Linked DNA regions of Stegostoma tigrinum. The protein of the gene in region 1 purifies or fractionates together with the protein of each later gene. This does not show direct contact. Links are inferred from orthologs where the notes say so. Each region holds a gene or a part of one and is shown on either strand. Other genes may lie near its edges.

Evidence for each region.
Region 2: the proteins of polr3b (region 1) and polr3k purify together in Homo sapiens (affinity purification with mass spectrometry; 6 studies listed by BioGRID and IntAct, with this or other methods). This does not show direct contact. The link is inferred for Stegostoma tigrinum from reciprocal best matches to the Homo sapiens genes POLR3B and POLR3K.
Region 3: the proteins of polr3b (region 1) and pfdn2 purify together in Homo sapiens (affinity purification with mass spectrometry; 3 studies listed by BioGRID and IntAct, with this or other methods). This does not show direct contact. The link is inferred for Stegostoma tigrinum from reciprocal best matches to the Homo sapiens genes POLR3B and PFDN2.

The regions. Positions count from the first base shown.
Region 1 is NC_081371.1:48,529,100-48,536,629, reverse strand, and holds the start of polr3b (DNA-directed RNA polymerase III subunit RPC2), read left to right. Parts: upstream 1-4,438; 5' UTR 4,439-4,474; coding exon 4,475-4,546; intron 4,547-5,964; coding exon 5,965-5,997; coding exon of another isoform or gene 5,998-6,029; intron 6,030-7,530. UniProt on the Homo sapiens protein: Catalytic core component of RNA polymerase III (Pol III), a DNA-dependent RNA polymerase which synthesizes small non-coding RNAs using the four ribonucleoside triphosphates as substrates.
Region 2 is NC_081376.1:5,099,574-5,106,630, reverse strand, and holds the start of polr3k (DNA-directed RNA polymerase III subunit RPC10), read right to left. Parts: upstream 3,092-7,057; 5' UTR 3,068-3,091; coding exon 2,957-3,067; intron 2,471-2,956; coding exon 2,383-2,470; intron 1-2,382. Other genes in the region: snrnp25 (U11/U12 small nuclear ribonucleoprotein 25 kDa protein), read left to right, coding at 6,331-6,519. UniProt on the Homo sapiens protein: Core component of RNA polymerase III (Pol III) which synthesizes small non-coding RNAs using the four ribonucleoside triphosphates as substrates. Can mediate Pol I proofreading of the nascent RNA transcript.
Region 3 is NC_081399.1:9,851,225-9,858,173, forward strand, and holds the start of pfdn2 (prefoldin subunit 2), read left to right. Parts: upstream 1-3,858; 5' UTR 3,859-3,885; coding exon 3,886-4,055; intron 4,056-6,949. Other genes in the region: nit1 (deaminated glutathione amidase), read right to left, coding at 1,263-1,505, 2,007-2,095. UniProt on the Homo sapiens protein: Binds specifically to cytosolic chaperonin (c-CPN) and transfers target proteins to it. Binds to nascent polypeptide chain and promotes folding in an environment in which there are many competing pathways for nonnative proteins.

The sequences.
Region 1 (7,530 bases):
TAATCGGAAATACATTAAATCCTGAGCAACATGAGGGAATACTGAAATGAGTTACATGTTGGTAAACACAGTTTGCTGATTTGAAATTTCTATTCCATTCTCCCTCCAAATGTAAACAATACTGGAATTATTTCTAATCAAGTGCTGCTTGTTAAAACCTTGCCTTAATTTCTCAAAGTTCAGCAAAACCGTGGAATACATATTTGATTAAAGTTTATTCTTTTGCAAGTAGTTATAGTTCAGTTTGTGCAATGCATGTTCACCTTTTTAATAAGCTTGAAATAAAGTGCATTATGGAAAATTGAGTCTTGGTTTATTTTATATCAATGCAATTATTTCAAGATTACCAGGCATGAACGATCTGAAGTGGTACATTTGCCTCAGGTTGTGGCTCAGTCTCTCAACCTGACTCAGCTCAGAGTCCAGCACAAACAATGCCGAACTGCTGACAATTATATAGACAAATGGTGCAGCCAATTTACATGCAGCACGATCCAACAACTGTGAATGTGATGACTAACCAGTTCATGTATTGTTGGTGGAATCAATTGGGAATTTTGGCCACGGCAATAAGATGCTTTCCTGCTTGAATGAGTTTCTCAGATGGATGCCCAGAAGGATGGGCAAGTTATGTTTTGGTCCAATATCCCAGCCAAAAGAAACGGCACTTCCAACAGCACAGCACAGTGCTTACTCGTTCTTCACCCTCCAACAGTGCAGCACTTCCCCAGTCCAACCTCCCCTCGACACTGACCATCTGAAAGTATCCCACTCCCTTTGATCTGATCCCACCCACAGTGTAGCACTCCCTCAGCTCTGACTCTCCAATAGTGTGGAACTCTCCCAGCACTGTCCATCTTACAATGGACTGCTTGTTCAGTATTGATGGTCCTTCACTACTGAACGTCTGACATTGCGGTGCTCCCTCAGTGCTGACCATCTAACAATGTGGAATTCCCTCAAAGCTGACCCTCTGATGTTGCAGTGCTCCCTCAATCCTGACCCTATGATAGTGTGGAGCTCCCTCAGTGCTGACCCTCTGACTGTGTGGTGCTCCCTCAGTGCTGACCCTATGACAGTGTGCAGCTCCCTCAGTGCTGACCCTCCAGTGGACAGAACGTTTTCTTCTTGCATACCATGTTTGGTTGATTTAGGAGCTGCCAATTTCAACTGATTTAATTTGATTTGATTTGTTGTTGTCACATGTCCCTAAGTACAGTGAAAAGTTTTGTTTTGTGAGCAGTATACGTAGATCATAGCAAACAAGGACACACAGATCATAGTATCAGAGATAATGGGAACTGCAGATGCTGGAGACTCCAAGATAATAAAATGTGAGGCTGGATGAACACAGCAGGCCAAGCAGCATCTCAGGAGCACAAAAGCTGACGTTTCGGCTCTGATGAAGGGTCTAGGCCCGAAACGTCAGCTTTTGTGCTCCTGAGATGCTGCTTGGCCTGCTGTGTTCATCCAGCCTCACATTTTATTATCACACAGATCATAGGGTGCCTTGACAGCAAGGTATACAAGGTTATGGCTGCACAGGAGGTGTACAAAGCAAGATCAACATTAGATTTTAAATTAGAGAGGTCCATTCAACAGTCTGATAACAGCAGGGAAGAAGCTGTTCTTGAAACTGTTAGTGCCTGCATTAAAGTTCTGAATCTTTTACTTGGTGGAAGAGGTTGGAAGAGAGTATTATCAGGGTGGCGGAGTCTTTAATGATGTTGGCAGCTTTACCATAGCAAAGAGAAGTACAAATGGAGTTCATGGATGGCAGGTTGGCTTCCGCGATGGCCTGAGCAATGCACACAACTTTGTGTAATCTCTTATTGCCCTGGGCAGAGCAGTTGCTGTACCAGGGCATTACACACCCAGATAGAATGCCTTCTATGGTGCATCTCTAAAAGTTGGTGAATTTCCTAAGCTGCCGGAGTTTTGAGATTAATCTTGATAGGGATTATGGTGTTGAAGGTGGAACTGTACTGGATGAGCAGGAGCCTGACGTAGTTATCCAGATGTTCCAGGGATGAGAGTACAGCTCGAGAAATGGTGTGTGTTGTAGACTTGTTTTGCCGGTAGGCAAATTGCAGGGCATCAAGACAGGTTGGGAGGCTAGACTTAATGTGGGCCATGACCAACCTCTTCAAACACTTCATGATCATGGAGGACAGAGCTAAGGGGAGGTAGCTGCATGTAGAGACACATTGTCTGTGTTTTCTTTGGTTTGGGGATGATGACGGTCTTCTTGGAGCAGGTAGGGACTTCAGATCTTAGCACTGAGAGGTTGAAGATGTCAGTGAGTACTTCTGTAAGCTGGTCAGCATAGGATCTAAGTGCACAGCTGGGGACTCCGACTGGGCCAGTCACTTTCCTTGGGTTTGCTCTCAGGCAGACTGATCTGATGCCTGCACCAGTGACAGAGAGAACAGGTGCGTCCGGGGCTGTCGGGGCAGGTGACACCGCAGCACTGGCATTCTGCAACTTTTCATAGACCATAGAATAGATGCCATTTGGCATGTTGTCATTCCAGCTCTCACAGCGTGTACATTTCCACCCTTCTGTCCAGAAGGACCTTGTAGTCCAGAAATTTATCAATTTTCAGGTTATTCTCCAACTTTCTTTTGAAAGCCACGATGGGACCTTTCACTATCACACTCTCTGGCAGTTTTTTACTGGTCCTAACCACTCATTGCATAAATGTTTTTCTTCCTTTCACTTGTGTCACTTTTGCTGACCACCTCACAGTGATGTCCTCTTGTTTTCAATGCTTCTGCCAATGGGAGCCATTTTCCCCTATTCATTGAGTCTAGACCTCTGACAATTTTGAGCAGATCCTTCTTCACAAATACCAAATACAGCTTCTCCAATTGATTCACTTAAATGGTGACAATGATGTGCCAAGAAGGAATATAATACTCCATTTGAGGCAAGGAATCGTGTTTTACAAATACTTAACTATAACCTTCTGGCTTTTATACACTGATTTTACTCAGGAGTTTGTAATTTTTTCAAAGATATTTTGGTTGGGGAAGCAGTGTTTAATTTGCCATTTCTTCATTGCTGATGGGTCAAAAGCAGACAATCACAGACTTGTTACAGTGCTGAAGGAGGCTGTTTGGCCAATCGTGATTGTATTGGTGCAGTAAAAGTACAATTCACCGAGTGCTGTTCTCACACCTTCTCCCACCTGACCGTGCACATTCTTCATCTGCTGACACAAATCTCATTCTGTTTTGAAAGGCTGGAGTGAAGCTGTCACCTCCACACTCTCAGATTATGCATTCCCGATCCTAATCACTCACGGTACACAAAGGATTTTCCTTGCATAATTTTTTGCTTCTTTTACTAATCACTTTAAATCCGTGTTTTCCTGATTCTGAGTGGAAAGCGTTTCTCCCTATTCGCTCTGTCCAGGTTCCTAATGATTTTGAAAATTTGATTCAGTCAGATCACCTCTTTGCCTCCTTTTGTTGGGAAAATCATTCCAGCTTCCCCAGTTCTATCTTCAGACCTGAAGCTCCTATCTTTGGAACTATTCTCTTGAAGTATTTCTGTGCTTCCTGCCAATGCATTCACATCCTTCCCAAAGTGTGGTCCCCAGAACTGGGCACAACCCTCCAGTTGAGGCAGAATTATGGTCAAATTCAACATAACTTCCTTGTTTGTGTTCGCTTTGCTCCTATTCACAATTTTTAAAAGAAGAAAAGGCACAAAATTTATGGCCACTTGTGGCTGGCTAGCATAATGATAAAAACAAAGCAAGTGCTCCAGCTGCAAAACTGCAAAAGAGAATCAGAGATAATGGGAACTGCAGATGCTGGAGATTCCAAGATAATAAAATGTGAGGCTGGATGAACACAGCAGGCCAAGCAGCATCTCAGGAGCACAAAAGCTGACGTTTCGGGCCTAGACCCTTCATCAGAGAGGGGGATGGGGGGAGGGAACTGGAATAAATAGGGAGAGAGGGGGAGGCGGACCGAAGATGGAGAGTAAAGAAGATAGGTGGAGAGGGTGTAGGTGGGGAGGGGATCGGTCAGTCCAGGGAAGACGGACAGAAGAGAATCTGTTAGGTGTTGTGATGGAGGATGTCGTCAGAGGATCCTGGTTTCACTTTCTGACAATTCCTTCAACCCAATTTTAAAAGACTGAAGTCCTGACAATGAGATAGGAGGGGACTGTGGGGGAAAAGAAGAGGAAAATACCAGGATGTGTAATAACGAGAAGAGTGATGAATGATTTGAAGTGAGCAATTCTAATTTATCAGATACCCCAGCAACACTGAAGCCCCAAGCACCAGCAGCAGCTTTACTGCGATGCCAGGGCCAGGGCGAGCTCATGCTCAGAGCAGCCGGTGGGCGGGGCAAAAGGGCCGGAATCTTTCAGCGGCGCCGCGGAGTTCCGGCCGGACACCTTTCTTTCCAGGAGGCGGGTTCCGTCCGGACGGGGATTAGCGGCGGACCACGAGGTGGACATGGAGACGCTAGCGGCTGAGTTCGGGGATTTGGATCCGGAGTCGCTGGCGGCACCGGTCCGGGAGGTGGAGGTGAGGCAAAAGCGGGTGGGGGAGATTACACAGGGAGAGGTTGTGGGACGTGGGTGAGGGGGCAGCGCTTAGGTCTCTCTTGCTGCACAGGTAGCTTCCCTGCCTCTGACACAGGAGCCCCGTGTTCAGCTCCCAAAATGTGTAACAGCATCTCTGAACAGGTTGGTTTGAAAGTGTCTAGAAAGCTGTGTAGAGGGTGGGGAGCACATTTAGAGAGATGATGCTTGAAATTTGTGTGAATTCATATCAGAAATGGAGTGAAAGCCTGGGCTGTTTTTTAGACTGGGGAGCGATTTATTGGGGTCCTCTTAACTTTATGAAATGTCTTGATGAAGTCGATACAGAGAGAATGTTTCATCTCGTGGGGAAGACTGTAACCAGCAGCCTTCGATATAAGAGATAATAACAACTGTAGATTTTGGAGAATCCGAGATAACGAGGTGTAGAGCTGAATGAACACAGCAGGCCAAGTAGCATGGCCTGCTGTGTTCATCCAGCTCTACACCTTGTTATCTCAGCCTTTGATATTAGGTAGTCACCAAAAATGTATTAGTAGATACAGAAGATGGGAACAGAAGAATGAGGAGAAGGAATAAGTTATTCATCAACCTCACCCCCAGCCCTCCCAAAAAAGTCTGTGCGGCATTCAATAAGTTCATGACTTGACTGTATCCCCCTCAACTCCTTTCCTGTCTGTCCCACATTGCACTAGACTCTATGGTCAATGGGAAATCTGTCTGACTCAGCCTTAAGTACATTCAAAGGTCCTCTGCTCTCTCGAGGATAATTCCCCAGATTAGTATCCCTGTGTTTGTGTGGTGATGGATGGTCAAACTTCTCATCACTATCTTACGTTGGAGACTTTTAATCTTTAACTGTGACCCCCTCATTCGAGATTCCCACATGAGGGGAAATATCCTTGCAGCATCCACCCAGACAGGTACCCTCCGAATTTTATTTGCTGCAATAAGTTCTACCTCTCATTGTTCCAGACTCTGGATATAGATCCAGACAAACATGAGAGGAAAATATGACAAAACTCCTCATTTAGAGAGAGTGATGAAAAATTGGAACTGGAGACGATGGGGTGAGGTAAAACAAATGGTATAGATGTATTATAGATAACAAGGTGTAGAGCTGGATGAACACAGCAGGCATCATAGGAGCAGGACAGTTTGTTATCTCAGATTCTCCAGCATCTGCAGTTCCTACTATCTCTGGTATATATGTATTTTTGGGGGAACTGAATAAACATGAGCAAGAGGGATTAAGAGTGTTCTGATAGCAGATTTAGATGAGAAGAGATGGTAGGAGGTTTGATCAGAGCAAATATGCTGATATTTGGTTGTGCTGAACAGCTTGTTGAGTTATGTATTCAATGTAAAAATACTGATCTTTGTTTTCTGCTTTTCTAATAGGAAAAATGGAAGCTGCTTCCTGCATTTCTGAAGGTAGCAGAGTTTTTCCTCATTTGCATGTTTTGGTGAGGAGAATGATAGCAGTTGAAATGTTTAATTTGTTCTGTGAAGCTTATGACAATGAGCAACTCTGCACTCAGCCTACAGGTGGTGACAGATCAAACTTGCAATGCAAGAGATAATGGGAACTGCAGATCCTGGAGAATCCAAGATAACAAAGTGTGGAGCTGGATGAACACAGCAGGCCAAGCAGCATCTCAGGAGCACAAAAGCTGACTCCCCACACCCCTCTCTGATGAAGGATCTAGGCCCAAAACATCAGCTTGGGCTGCTGTGTTCATCCAGTTCCACACTTTGTTAAACTTGCAGCACAAGTTGGTGTGTCGCAGAGTTGCTTTCGGAGTTCAGTGGCAAATGTAACTGGGCCGGTGTTTGGGAGAGGGGCGTTGAGCATACTGCGACCTCTTCATCCTGCTTAAATGGAGATTCTTCAGAATGCTATTAGTTGAAAGTTGAGAGGATTGCTTGAATATGCTTGTATTTCCATGTGTTTGGAAAATAAGGGATGATCTGATCAAGGTGTTTAAAATGAGTTTGGCAGAGAGAACCCATTCTTCCAATGGAGGCTTGGCTGTTGAGAAGTGGTCATGAGTGTGAAAAGACCATGTCTGTTTAATTTGGTGCTGTTAAAACTGTAAACGGAGCTGAGAATCACTTTAAAATCACTGCTTCAAAGGATTTGTGCATGTTGTGGAAAGCAGGTGACCTGACATCTATGGCAAGCAACGTAAATAGCTCTTTGAACAAGTAGTAATTGAAGTGATTGCAGATGAATTGCTGAGCGGTTCTGTGTACAGATTCACCTGGGTGTCAACAAGAATTTGCTTAGTCTATGGACTAATGACCAGTTATCGATCACACAAGCCTTTTGTTTGCCAACACTAATTAGTTCTAAGATAACTGAATAGCTTCAGGCTGGGAACAAGATAGAGAGAAATGTTCTGATCTCCGTTAGCTCAGGGGCCGTCTCTCTGTTCTCTGCAGTCAAAACCCATTTTAAACTTGGGGAAAAAATGTCGGTTCATCTTTACGTCAGCAGTTGTCTTAAGCTGTGACTTTTAACTGATGTGTCAGAAACCTTTCATAAGTGAAACAGCCACTTTGTCTCTTACAAACTGTTGGAATTTTCAGAGAAAGGCAACTGAACAGTAACATTCTGAACAACAGAGAATCATAAAGATCATCTGAGCAACCCATGAATAAATACCTGAACTGGCTTCAAGCTTTCCCGCACTCTTAATCTATTTTTCCTATGTGTATGTCTGGGAGGAAGTTTTAAATTGTAGTATTTATAATGCAATTGTTATAACTGCATGTAGTTAGAGAGTAATTACTTGTCATAAATGGTCATTCTTGTTATGTAGAGAAACCTTGTTTGTGCTTTCTATTCACCTGAGTCTGAAAATAAGGTAGATTGAGGAATTTCGAAATCATTAACTTTTGTGGCTTGTGCTATGCCAATGAGCTTTGACAAAATGGCAGTGGAAATCTGTAACTCCCTTTTCC
Region 2 (7,057 bases), on another chromosome or scaffold:
TCATTTCAAGATGATGCCCTCTGGTCCCAGGCTTTCCCCACAGGGGGAAACAATGTTTCCGCATCTACCTTAACAAGCCCCCTAAGAATCTTACATGTTTCAATAAGGTCACCACTCATTCCTCCAAATTCAAATAAGCACAGGCCTAACCTATTCAACCTGTCCCAGGCAACGTGGTCTCAGAAGGAGAGATTGAATTATCTAAATGTGATGAATTTTGAAACACAGTCTGTCAAGAGTAGCTTTGAGAGCGATTCAGAGTTATTTCTCTCTGCAGAGAGCAAAATTTTAAATGAGATTTTGTGCCCACAGTGTCACGAACATCTGGCTGGGCTGCTGGGAAATCCTTGGGATCTCTCGACCTGCTTGATCTGATATTGGATATGCTCTATGTGATGTTCAACCAATATTTGGCTGTAAACCTAAATATACTTCACATTAATTATGGCTGTCAAAGCTGCATGCACGTTATAGACTGTATTACTTTCCTAACCTTGTAAAGTCAAGTTTATTTTATTTGTTTAAAAACAGAATCCTACAGCATTAATCTTAGTGAGTTCTTGCAACTTTAAACTTCATGTACTTAGTGTTTAAAGTTACTGGTCCCTAACCTGGTAACATAAATTTGACAGTCTTGCCAAGGATCTATGACAGCTCTTAAGATAACTTAGAGAAGGAAGCTGCTATAGCGAGATCCGCACTTGTGTCTTTAGGTTAAAGTTGCCCCCTGCTACAAATATGAGTTTGGCGATAGCAAGAACTGCAGATGCCGGAGTCAGAGTCATCTGGAGGAACACAGCGGTTTGATCAAGGGTGTGAACCCGAAATGTCGACTTTCCTGCTCCACAGATGATATCTGACCTGGTGTGTTCCTCCAGCTCCACACTGTATTGACTACAAATATGAGTTTGTTTTGTTTAGGACTGTGTCTTTAATGCAAGGTAGAACAAAGCTGTTCTGACATCTCGATCCAAGATTGAGGGAGCAGCTAGTAAGCAAAAAGTCTGAAAGTGCTGGAACCATACTGGAATCATGCTTGGATGGAAAAGATCAAACTCACAGGGAGACAACATGAGGCTGGGGAACCACTTAGGGCTACAGAAAGCGTGTCTCCAGAAAAATTTAAAAAAAATTATTTCTCAGGGCTAAGAATAGAAACAAAATGTTGAAGAAATTCAAGTCTGACAGCCTCTGTGGGGAGCAAAATGGGAATATTTCAACTCTGTGAGACTTCTCTTCAGAAGTAGGCTGGAAAAAATGATTCAGAGATAGTAGATGCTGTAGAATCTGAGATAACAAGGTGTAGAGCTGGATGAACACAGCAGGCCAAGCAGCAGAGGAAAGGGAAGGCTGACGTTTCAGACCTAGACCCTTCAGAAAAAAAATGAAGACGGGTCTCGGCCCAAAACGTCAGCCTTCCTGCTCCTCTGCTGCTGCTTGGTCTGCTGTGTTCATCCAGCTCTACACCTTGTTATGTCTGGAAAAAATGATAGTTGTTATGTTGTTGGAAATGGAACAGGAAGAGCAAGCTGGGAATGCACACCAGAATAAAAGATGAAGAGAATGTGCATGGAGGGAGAGAAATGATACAGATGAAGTGTAGGTGTTATTGGTAATGGTAAGATGATCCAGGTATTTCCAACAATGTTTTTAGTTCAGCTCTCCAGCATCTGCAGTACTTTGCATTAACCCTGGTATCCCAGTATCACTTTGGATTGATCCTGGGAATATTTAATGCCTACATGAAGGAAAGTGTAAAGAATATGTTTGAACTGTGTTCTCTTCTTCAGTTTTGCTCAGAATAAGGGCTTTATGGGTTATGGTACATGTTGTCTTTCAAGAAAATGTATTAGTTAAGTGTCTTCACTCATTTGTTACAATATGTCTTAAAATGTGAAATCTCAGTGCATCATTCTCTGAGCAATGAACCGGAATTTTGAATTATCTTTTAAAATGGTGGCTCAGCGGTTAGCACTGCAGCCTCACAGCACCAGGGATCCAGGTTCGATTCCAGCCTCGGGCGACTGCCTGTGCGGAGTTTGCACATTCTCCCCGTGTCCGCGTGGGTTTCCTCCGGGTGTTCCGGTTTCCTCCCACAGTCCAAAGATGTGCAGGCTAGGTGGATTGGCTATGCTAAATTGCCTGTAGTGTTCAGATGTGCGTGGGTTACAGGGGGATGGATCTGGGTGGGATGCTGCAAGGGGCGGTGTGGACTTGTTGGGCCGAAGCGCGTGTTTCCACATCATAGAGAATCTAAGTAAAAGCTAAGGATCTCTGTAGGGAATGTTACACAAAACAACTGTGTAGAATAATGCAAGCTATCACGTGACCCATATTACCCAACCTCATCTTTCACGTGACAAGTTGTTTTAATTACCATACCTGCTGTAGAGTCAACATTTTTCCAAGCAGCAGCTCCACCTAACACATCATCGACTTCCTTAAGCTTGGGATATTTTCTGCTTGTTACCTTCAATACAAAGGAAAAATATCACTTGTTATTTTGCACACAAGCAAGTCAATAAAGTGAGTTCAAAGGAAAGTGCCCTGAACACAGTCATTATTGATTTCCAATTTACATTAGTCTCTAAAGTATCACATATTTCAGCCATTTCCCATTCATCCAGGTATAAACATTTTCAACAAGGTACAATCAGCTTAATAAATACGTTTGTGTATGAATAAAATATCCTCCACCACTCAATCTCCTTCCTCATCGATACCCCACCCCATTCCCTACATCCCACTCTCCCCTCCCCCTCTGCTCTCCATCCCCCCCCTTCTTTCTCTGATGAAGGGTCTAGGCCCGAAACGTCAGCTTTTGTGCTCCTGAGATGCTGTTTGGCCTGCTGTGTTCATCCAGCCTCACACCTTGTTATCCTAACCTTCTCCCATCCTGCTTTCCTTCATTTCCGACCCCCTTCTCCGGCCCCGGCCCCTAAGTCTCGTCCCCCACCTTCCGGGTGACGTTGTGAACGTACGGACAGGTGTTACACGCGAAACGATAACATTTCTGTCCCTCCTCCACAATCAGGACGTTCCCGCAGGTCGGGCAAAAGAGCAGCATCGCCGGAACCGGAAACAGAAACACTGCCCAGAGCCTTCTCACCGTGCGCCCGGATTTTGGTTCCGGGGGTGGGGGAAGGGCTGGTGCGGACCACGAGGCCTCGGAGAGAGGGAGGAACAGAGACAGTGCGTGCTCGTGTCAGGATCAGGGTCTGGAGTCCGTTTGAACAAACTCTGTCCGGCTGGGGTCGAGGGGAGGGTGTGCAGGCACAAGGAGGGACAGAGATAGAGACAGAAACAGCACAGACAAAAACACAGAGAGACAGAAACAGAGAGGGGGAGAGAGAGAGAGAGACAGAAACAGACAGCAACACAGAGAGAGAGACAGAAACAGAGAGGGGGAGAGAGAGACAGAAACAGAGAGGGGGAGAGAGAGAGAGACAGAAACAGAGAGGGGGGGGAGAGAGAGAGAGAGACAGAAACAGAGAGGGGGGGGGGAGAGAGAGAGACAGAAACAGAGAGGGGGAGAGAGAGAGAGAGAGAGACAGAAACAGAGAGGGGGAGAGAGAGAGAGACAGAAACAGAGAGGGGGAGAGAGAGAGAGAGACAGAAACAGAGAGGGGGAGAGAGAGAGAGAGAGACAGAAACAGAGAGGGGGAGAGAGAGAGAGAGAGACAGAAACAGAGAGGGGGAGAGAGAGAGAGAGAGACAGAAACAGAGAGGGGGAGAGAGAGAGAGAGAGACAGAAACAGAGAGGGGGAGAGAGAGAGAGAGAGACAGAAACAGAGAGGGGGAGAGAGAGAGAGAGACAGAAACAGAGAGGGGGAGAGAGAGAGAGAGACAGAAACAGAGAGGGGGAGAGAGAGACAGAAACAGACACAGACAGCAACACAGAGAGAGAGACAGAAACAGAGAGGGGGAGAGAGAGAGAGAGACAGAAACAGAGAGGGGGAGAGAGAGAGACAGAAACAGAGAGGGGGAGAGAGAGACAGAAACAGAGAGGGGGAGAGAGAGACAGAAACAGAGAGGGGGAGAGAGAGACAGAAACAGAGACAGACAGCAACACAGAGAGAGACAGAAACACAGAGAGGGAGAGAGAGACAGAAACATACAGACAGAAACAGAGAGGGGGAGAGAGAGAGAGAGAGACAGAAACAGAAACACAGAGAGGGAGAGAGACAGAAACAGAGAGGGGGAGAGAGAGACAGAAACAGAGAGGGGGAGAGAGAGAGAGAGAGAGACAGAAACAGAGAGGGGGGGGGAGAGAGAGAGAGACAGAAACAGAGAGGGGGGGGGAGAGAGAGAGAGACAGAAACAGAGAGGGGGGGGAGAGAGAGAGAGACAGAAACAGAGAGGGGGAGAGAGAGAGAGAGACAGAAACAGAGAGGGGGAGAGAGAGAGAGACAGAAACAGAGAGGGGGAGAGAGAGAGAGACAGAAACAGAGAGGGGGAGAGAGAGAGAGAGACAGAAACAGAGGGGGAGAGAGAGAGAGAGACAGAAACAGAGAGGGGGAGAGAGAGAGAGAGACAGAAACAGAGAGGGGGAGAGAGAGAGAGAGACAGAAACAGAGAGGGGGAGAGAGAGACAGAAACAGACACAGACAGCAACACAGAGAGAGAGACAGAAACAGAGAGGGGGAGAGAGAGAGAGAGACAGAAACAGAGAGGGGGAGAGAGAGACAGAAACAGACACAGACAGCAACACAGAGAGAGACAGAAACACAGAGAGGGAGAGAGACAGAAACATACAGACAGAAACAGAGAGGGGGAGAGAGAGACAGAAACAGAAACACAGAGAGGGAGAGAGACAGAAACAGAGAGGGGGAGAGAGAGAGAGAGACAGAAACAGAGAGGGGGAGAGAGAGAGAGAAACAGACACAGACAGAAACACAGAGAGGGAGAGAGAGACAGAAACACAGAGAGAGAGAGACAGAAACAGACAGACAAACAGAGAGGGGGGAGAGAGAGACAGACACAGACCGTAACACAGAGAGAGAGAGAGAGACAGAAACAGACAGACACAGACAGCAACACAGAGAGAGAGAGACAGAAACAGACACAGACAGCAACACACAGAGAGAGAAACAGACACAGACAGAAACAGAGAGGGGGAGAGAGAGAGAGAAACAGAAACAGACAGCAACACAGAGAGGGAGAGAGAGACAGAAACAGCTCAGACAAAAACACAGAGGGAGAGAGAGACAGAAACAGACAGACAAACACAGAGAGGGGGGAGAGAGAGACAGAAACAGCTCAGACAAAAACACAGAGACAGAGACAGACAGCAACAGAGAGAGAGAGAATCAGAGAGAGAGAGAGTCAGAGATTAGGACAGAGAGCCAGACAGTGGGATGGATGGGGACAGACAGAAAGAGAAAAACAAGGATTGAAAGGGAGAGAAACAACAGCCACAGCAATTAACGTGGGAGAGACTATAGGAATGTGGTGTCATGGATTTCAGAGATTAAAAGAACAGACAGTAAATAAATCAACTCATCACAGCAGGAAGTGAGAAACAGGGAGAATTCAGGTCCTACTGTACACCGTGGATCAGTTTACAGTCAGAATGAAGGAGACTGCAGAATGACTAAGTTCAAAACCACAAATTAGAGCAAGTATTTTGGAAGAAACTACCTGTTTTCCAAGTGAGGCAGTTCCCGATCATTAAGTACTAAGGAATCATCTTATCCAAAACTCTTGACTGGATAGATCATCAGTTTCGCAGAATAGTTTATTTCCCAAGTTTTCCTCCATAGCCCTAAATACATTCTGCCATGGTGGTGGTGGATGCAAATACAATAGGGGCATTTAAGGGGATTTTAGATAAGCACGTATGTAAGAAAGGAATGGATGGATGTGGACCATGGGCAGATGGAAGGGATTAGCTTAACTTGGTGTCATGGCCGGCACAACATTGTGAGCTAAAGGGGCCGTTCCTATGCTGTACTGTTTTATGTTCTATATCTCCCGTTCCTCCCCCATCCCACACACACTACCTCTTTTCCCCCTCCATGCCCTATCATATCTCCTGTGTCCACTCCACTGTGATTCAGTACTGAGCTAGTTAGCAATTGGCAAGATTGACAAGTGTTTTAAATGCTAATGAGGCTAATATAATAAGCATGGAGGCTTTGAATATCTATTGTGAAAAAGAACTGAACTCACAGAATGGTTACAGCACAGAGGGTGGCCATGTTTGTATTGGCTCTCCAAAGTTGCAGTTTTCCCAGTGCTATTCCCTTACCTTCTCTCCATAACTCTGCACGTTCTTTTCCAGATAATAATCCAATTCTCATTTAAATTCCACTGAAAGATTCACTGAGGATGACTGAAGACATTAAGAAGGAACCACTTTCCACCAACATTAAGCAGGAAGAAAATTTTGCCGTAGTCAATCAAGAAAAAGCTGTAGAAGAGGAGGAAGAGTTATCGCATGCAGAAATCCTGGACCTATTTCAGGAAGGTCTGGCCATGATTGTCCAGGATCCATTGCTGTGTGATCTTCCAGTTCAGGTTTGTGGTTTATTTTAATCATAAGCTTTACACATTCACAATAATTACATTTTTATCAGTGATGATGTTTGATATCAAGAATGCGAATACTGTTTGATCAATGGAAATCTTTTTCTGGTCTTTTAATTGTACACAGAATGTGGCATTGCTGACTAGACCCAACATTTATTTCCCATCCCTAATTGCCGAGTGGGCAGTTGACAGTCAGCCACATCACTGTGAATCTCATGTAGGCCGGACCACATAGCATAGAGTCGTAGAGATGTGCAGCATGGAAACAGACCCTTCGGCCTGACTTCTGTATGCCAACCATATATCCTAAATTAATCTAGTCCCATTTGCCAGCATTTGGCCCATATCCCTCTAAACCCTTCTTATTCATGTACCCATCGAGATCCCACTTCAATATTGTAATTGAACCAGCCTCCACCACTTCCTCTGGCAGCTCGTTCCATACATTCTGTATGACAAAGTTTCCCTTCAAGTCTTTTTTAAATCTTTCACCTCTCACCTTAAACCTCTAGTTTTGGATTCCTGT
Region 3 (6,949 bases), on another chromosome or scaffold:
GGGCCTAAACCTTTCATCAGACAGCCTCTCTGATTGAAGGGTCTAGGCCCGAAACGTCAGCTTTTGTGCTCCTGGGATGCTGCTTGGCCTGCTGTGTTCATCCAGCTTCACACCGTGTTATGTCGGATTCCCCAGCGTCTGCAGTTCCCATTATCGCTAGTGACGGAGAGTGTTCAACACCTCTGCTTTGTGAGTGAGTGAGCGTGTGTGGGTGCTCAGGGCAGGTTTACTCAAAGAAACCTACAGCACAGAAACAGGCCCTTCGGCCCTCCAAGCCTGCGCCGATCAAGATCCTCTGTCTAACCCGACATCTATTTTCTAACAGTCTGTGTCCATTTGCTCTCTGCCCATCCATGTACCTGTCTAGATACATCTTAAAAGATGGTATCGTGTCCACCTCTACCACCTCGGCTGGCAACGTGTTCCAGGCGCCCACCAGCCTCTGTGTGAAGAACTTTCCAGGCATATCTCCCTTAAACTTTCCTCCTCTCACTTTGAACTCATGACCCCTAGTAATTGAGTCCCCCACTCTGGGAAAAAGCTTTTTGCTATCCACCCTGTCTATACCCATCATGATTTTGTAGACCTCAATCAGGTCCCCCCTCAATCTCCGTCTTTCTAATGAAAATAATCCTAATCTATTCAACCTCTCTTCATAGCGAGCACCCTCCATACCAGGCAACATCCTGGTGAACCACCCTTGCACCCTCTCCAAAGCATCCACATCCTTTTGATAATGTGGTGACCAGAACTGTACACAGTACTCCAAATGTGGCCGAACCACAGTCCTATACAACTGCAACATGACCTGCCAACTCGTACTCAATACCCCGGCCAATGAAGGAAAGCATGCCATATGCCTTCTTGATCACCCTATTGACCTGCGTTGTCACCTTCAGGGAACGATGGACCTGAACACCCAGATCTCTCTGTTCATCAATTTTCCCCAGGACTTTTCCATTTATTGTATAATCAGTGACAGACTTTTGAATGATTGTGAACCAGGACCAACTGCAACGCTCACCATTGTAGCAATTTTCTGATTGACTTCTGGGCAAGCTGCTGCAGCTTGGTGATTGCGCGATACAAAATAAAACTCTAACATGCGAAGGAGAAAACTTCCTCCTTGAGAGGAAAATGGACGGGGGAGAGACACCTTCAGAGACACTGGAAGGTGGTCAACGTGGGGGAAGAGAGTGAGGGTAAGAAGGAAGAGTGGCGTCAGAGGCAGGAAAGGGAGAGGTGCGAGGGAGCACGGGTACCTGGCCATGCGGAAATACCGTTGGATGAGATCGCCCTCCAGGGTCTCTGCCTGGCTGAGTGTCTGCTCCTGAGATGAGGCAACATAATCAAAGGCTTCAGGGAGGAAGAGGAACTTGGCCCCTCGCTCTGCCCCCTCCCTCACCAGCGCCTGACACTCAGCAAAATTTCTCTCCTTGTCCCCCGTGCTGTTCAGCTGGCACACTCCAATCAAACTCCTCTTCAGCGTCGCCATCCCTCGCAACCTGTCCAAGACAGAGAGAGAGAGAGTGAGTGTCGCATAGAGACACACCTTCCCTCGAACCTCCTTCAAACCAGCTTCCAACATTCCTCAAGAAAAGACATCAACCGCAAACTTGCAGACGGGAAAAGACGTTGCCAAACTGGGATACTTTCGACTCCCAGGCACTCTCAGCGAGCCGCTCCCACGTTCCTTCCGGCGCCCAGTCCTTCCTCACCAACACCCACCACCTCATCTACCCGAGAAAGAGCAACAGGGAAACAAGAGCGTAGGAACAAATGGGTCGCTCGCAGAGTGGGAACGGTCAATACTGCCAGCCTGAGCAGCCGGCCCCGAACTATCCACAACTAACATCAGTAATTTGCAGCAAGGAATCCAGTGTGAGAACTGGGTGGGGGCTGTGAGCAGTGAGGAGGTTACAGGGCAATTTAGCGAGTGGACAAATACAAGTACCGTCACACAGAGAAAGGGCAAATTGTCAGCTTTGGTAAGGGTTTAAACAAACCCCAGAATCACAGAGTCTGAGTTAAGCATTGATAGACCAGGAAAGCTCGATGCACAAAAGGGTCCTGGGTGTCCCTGTCCTCTGGTCATTGGGAAGCACACAGGCAGAGCTCAGGAAGCGAAGGGGGGTTAGCGGAGGGGGAATAAGTGATGGGGAGGGGAGGGATGTGAGGGATGGAGATTGGGGGGATGGGATTTTGCATGTGTGGGGTAGGGGGATGTGTGGCTGGGGAGGGCTTGTGAAGGCTAGGAGATGTGAGGGATGGGGGTGTAGGCTGTGGGGTTGGTGATGTTGGGAAGAGGGATAATGGGAATGGGGGGGCAGTTACTGGGGGTGTATGCTGATGGAATGGATCAGGGATTAAGGGGGTAGGGGTTGATGGGAATGGGGGTAAAGGGAGAGGGGTGATTACTCGGGTCTGAGATAAAGGGGGTAGGGGATGATGGGAATCAGGGTAAAGGGGAGGGGTGGTTACTGTGGGAGGGCAGATGATGGGGAGGATAAAGGAAATTGGGGTAATGCAGGAGGAGAGATCACTGGGGGATGATGGGAAGGGAGTATAAGGGGATGGGGGTGACGGGAAGTTGGGTTAAGGGGATGGGGGATGATGGGAAGTGAAGTGGATAAACGGTTGGGGGATGATGGGAAGTGGGGTATATGGGGCATGATAGGAAGTGAAGTGGATAAAGGGTTGGGGGATGATGGGAAGTGGGGTATATGGGGGATGATGGGAAGTGAAGTGGATAAAGGGTTGGGGGATGATGGGAAGTGGGATACATGGGGTTGAGGGATGGGAGACAATGGGAAGGCGGGATAAGGGGATGGGGGAACGATGGGAAGGCGGTATAAGGGGATGGGGGTGACGATGGAAAGGGGGGGATGGGGGATAAGGATGATGGGGGGGTGATAGGGGGATGGGGATGATGGGAAGTTTGGGGATAAGGGGATGATGGGAAAGGGGGTAAAAGGGGGACAGTTACTGGGGGCACATGATGATAGAATGGGGAAGGGGTGGTTACTGGGATCAGGGATTACCCAACCCTAATCCTAATCCTAATCCTAACCCTTTCACACAGGGATGATGGGAATTGGGATGGGGGAATGTTGGGAAGGGGATGGGGGGAATGAGGGGATAGGGAATGATGGGAAGGGGATGGGGGAATAAGGGGATAGGGAATGATGGGAAGGGGGACGATGGGAAGTGGGGGGATAGGGAATGATGGGAAGTAGGGGGATAAGGGGATAGGGAACGATGGGAAGGGGACGGGGGAATGATGGGAATTGGGATGAGGGGAATGTTGGGAAGGGGATGATGGGAGGGGGGATGATGGGAAGTGGGGGGATAAGGGGATAGGGAATGATGGGATAGGGAATGATGGGAGGGGGCGGTTACCAAGCAGCCAACGTCACGCGGAGGCTGAGAGAGAACATGCCCCTGCGCCCAGTGTCCGTGGAAACCCGCTCAGGGGGCCTGACGCTGAATTAGCCGCCTATCTACCTGCCTGCTGTCAGATATGGACACACCTTTGAGGGGAGGGGGAGGACAAACTCGGCCCGAACACCATTCCCACAATGCTACAACATTCAGGGAAAATTTCGCCGAAGTTTTTTCTGGAGGGGGGGGGCGCAGAAAAAAGACGGCTTCACAAAATGATCGGCGTGAAAAGGGGTTGGATGTGAAATTGAGAGCCGGTTCACGGTTTATTGATTTATTTCGGTGTGTCGGCGGGGTTTTGTTTACGCTGCGTTTTTTTTATATGTAACTGGTTGACTTCCCTCCCGCTGTTGATGTGAAAGCCCAGTCAGGCGGTATCCGCGGGCACCACCCACCGTCTCTATAAAAGGAGGCCGGAGGGCCCCGCCCCTCTCCAGTGGTGGGATGGAGGGACCCGGCGCGGTAGGGATGCTGTCGGGAGGCCGGGCCCAACAGGCCCAGGCCGCCGCCCCCACACCCGAGCAGGTGCTGGCCGGCTTCAACAAACTGCGGCAGGAGCAGCGCGGCCTGGCGGGCAAAGGGGCCGAGCTGGAGCAGGAGGTGGCGGAGCACGGGTAACGGGACGGGGAGGGAAGAGAGAATGGAAAGGGTTGGGTGGGTGGGCGGGTCGGGGTTTGATTATATATAAATGGCACAGGCCCTTGGCCCATGATGTTGTGCCCAACTTTTACCCTAATCCTAAGGTCTACCTAACCTCCACCCCTACCTTATACTTCCATCCATATACCTGTCTAATAGCCGCTTAAATGCCCCTAATGAGGCCGACTCTACTCCCCTCTCCGACCACTCTCTGAGTAAAGAACCTCCCTCTGATGTCACCCCTATATCTACCTCCACTCACTTTAAATCTATGTCCCCTCATCATAGCTACCTCCACCCTAGGAAAAAGTGTCTGGCTGTCCACTCTATCTATATCTCCGATCATTTTGTACACCTCTGTCAATCACCTCTCATCCTTCGTTGCTCTAAAGAGAAAAGCCCTAGCTCTCTCAACCTTTCCTCGTAAGACCTTCCCTCCATTCCAGACAACATCCTGGCAAATCTCCTCTGCACCTTTTCCAACACTTCCACATCTTTCCCTGTAATGAGGCAACCAGAACTGGACACCATACTCCAGATGTGGCTGAACCAGGCTTTTGTATAGCTGGAGCATAACTTCACGGTTCTCAATCCCTCTATTACTGAAAGCTCACACACCGTACACCTTCTTAACAACTCTATCCACCTGGGTGGCAGCTTTCAGGGAACTGTGGACATGAACCCCAAGATCCCTCTGCTCCTCCACACTGCCAAGAACCTTTCTGTTAACCCTGTATTCTGCTCTCAAGCTTGCCCTTCCAAAATGAGTCATCTCTCACTTTTCAGAGTTAAACTCCATCTGCCACTTCTCAGCCCAGCTCTGCATCCTATTAATGCCCCTTTGTAACCGAGGACAGTCCTCCGCACTATCCACAACACAACCCACCTTCATATCGTCCGTGAACTTACTAATCCACCCTTCCACTCCTTCATCCAAATCATTTACAAAAACCACAAATAGAAGAGGACCCAGGATAGATCCTTGTGGTACACCACTCGTAACTGAACACCATGTTGAATGTTTTCCATCCACTACCACCCTTTGCCTTCTAAGGGTCAGCCAGTTCTGAATACAATCTGCCACATTACCCCCTATCCCATGCCTCCTTACCTTCTGCATGAGCCTATTACGGGGATCCTTATCTAATGCCTTACTTAAATCCATGTATACCACATCCACTGCTCCACCTTCATCCACGAGTTTGGTCACCTCTTCAAACAATTCAATAAGGTTTGTGAGGCATGATCTGCCCCTCACAAACCCATGCTGACTATCACAAATCAAACTGTCTTTCCGAGTGATTGTGAATCCTATCTCCGAGTCCGTTCCAATAATTTACCCACCATTGAAGTAAGACTAATTAGCCTGTAATTTCCAGGGTTATCCTTATTCTGTTTTTAGAACAGGGGAACAATGTTCGTCTCTCTCCAGTCTTCCGGCAGTATACCCATGGACAGTGAGGACGAAAAGATCATTGCCAAAGGCCCTGCAATCTTGTCCCTCACTTCCCATAGAATCGTTGGATGAATCCCATCAGACCCGGGGGACTTATCTGTCTTCAACTTCCTCAAAATTCCTAGCATATCTTCCTTACTGACATCGACTTCCTCTAGTCTACCAGCCTGTTTCACAATGTCTTCCTCTACAACTAGGTTCCTCTCAGTTGTGAATACTGAAGAAAAGTATTCATGAAGGACCTCTCCTATCTCTTAAGGCTCAGTGCACAAATGCCCTTTACAGTCCATGATCGGCCTTGCCCTATCTCTGGTTATTCTCTTATTCCTCACGTATGTGTAAAAAGCCTTGGGGTTTTCCTTGATCCTATCTGCTGAGGTTTTTCTCATGCACCCTTTTAGCTCTCCTAAGCCCTTCCTTCAGCCCCTTCCTGGCTAACTTGTATCCCTCTAGAGCCTTTTCCGTTCCTTGTTTCCTAAACCTTATATAAGCCTCCTTCTTCCTCTTAACCAGACGTTTGACCCCTCTTGACTGCATCTTCTCTGCCTGCTAGGGACAAACACATCAAGCACACAAGCAGTCTGCCTTCTTTAAACAATCTCCGCATTTCAATAGTGCTGTTCCCTGACAGCATCTGTTCCCCTTTAATGTTACCCAGTTCTTGCCTAACAGAATTAATGACCCTTGCCCCAATTGTAAACCTAACCCTGCTTTACGTATCTATTCTTTTCCATGACTGTTGTAAAAGTAACAGAGTTATGATCGCTATCGCCAAAATGCTCTCCTACCCACAGGTCTAACACTTGGCCCGGTTCATTGCCAAGCACCGTACCTAAAGTGTCCTCTCCTCATGTTGCTGTATGTACTTACCGTGTCCGGAATCCTTCCTGAATGGACTGGACACAATCCGTTCCATCCCAACTATCAACTAACATGTTCCCAATCAATATTTGGAAAGTTGAAGTCACCCATGACTTGTAACCCTGTGACTTCTGCACCTTTCCAGTATCTGCCTCCCAATCCGCTCCTCCACTTCTCTGCAACTATTAGGGGTCTGTTTATATAAAAAAAACCCCAACAAAATGACAGCTCCTTTCTTGTTCTGGACCTCAACCCAAACTGACTCTGTAGACACATCATTCTTGAACTGCCTTTTAGTAGCTGCTATACTCCCCCTGACTAGCAATGTCACTCCCTATTTCTTCCAAAGCATCTAAATCCCGGGACTTCCAACAACCATCCCTGTCCTGGAGTTACCCAAGTTTCTGTAATGGCCACGACCCGTAATGATTGATGGAGTTAACCTGGGTGGGGGAGTCTGTAGATGTGGTTTATTTGCATTTCCAGACAAAAGTCCCACATAAAACATATTAACTTAAAGGGCATGGGAGCATATTGAGGTGGTTAGAAAAT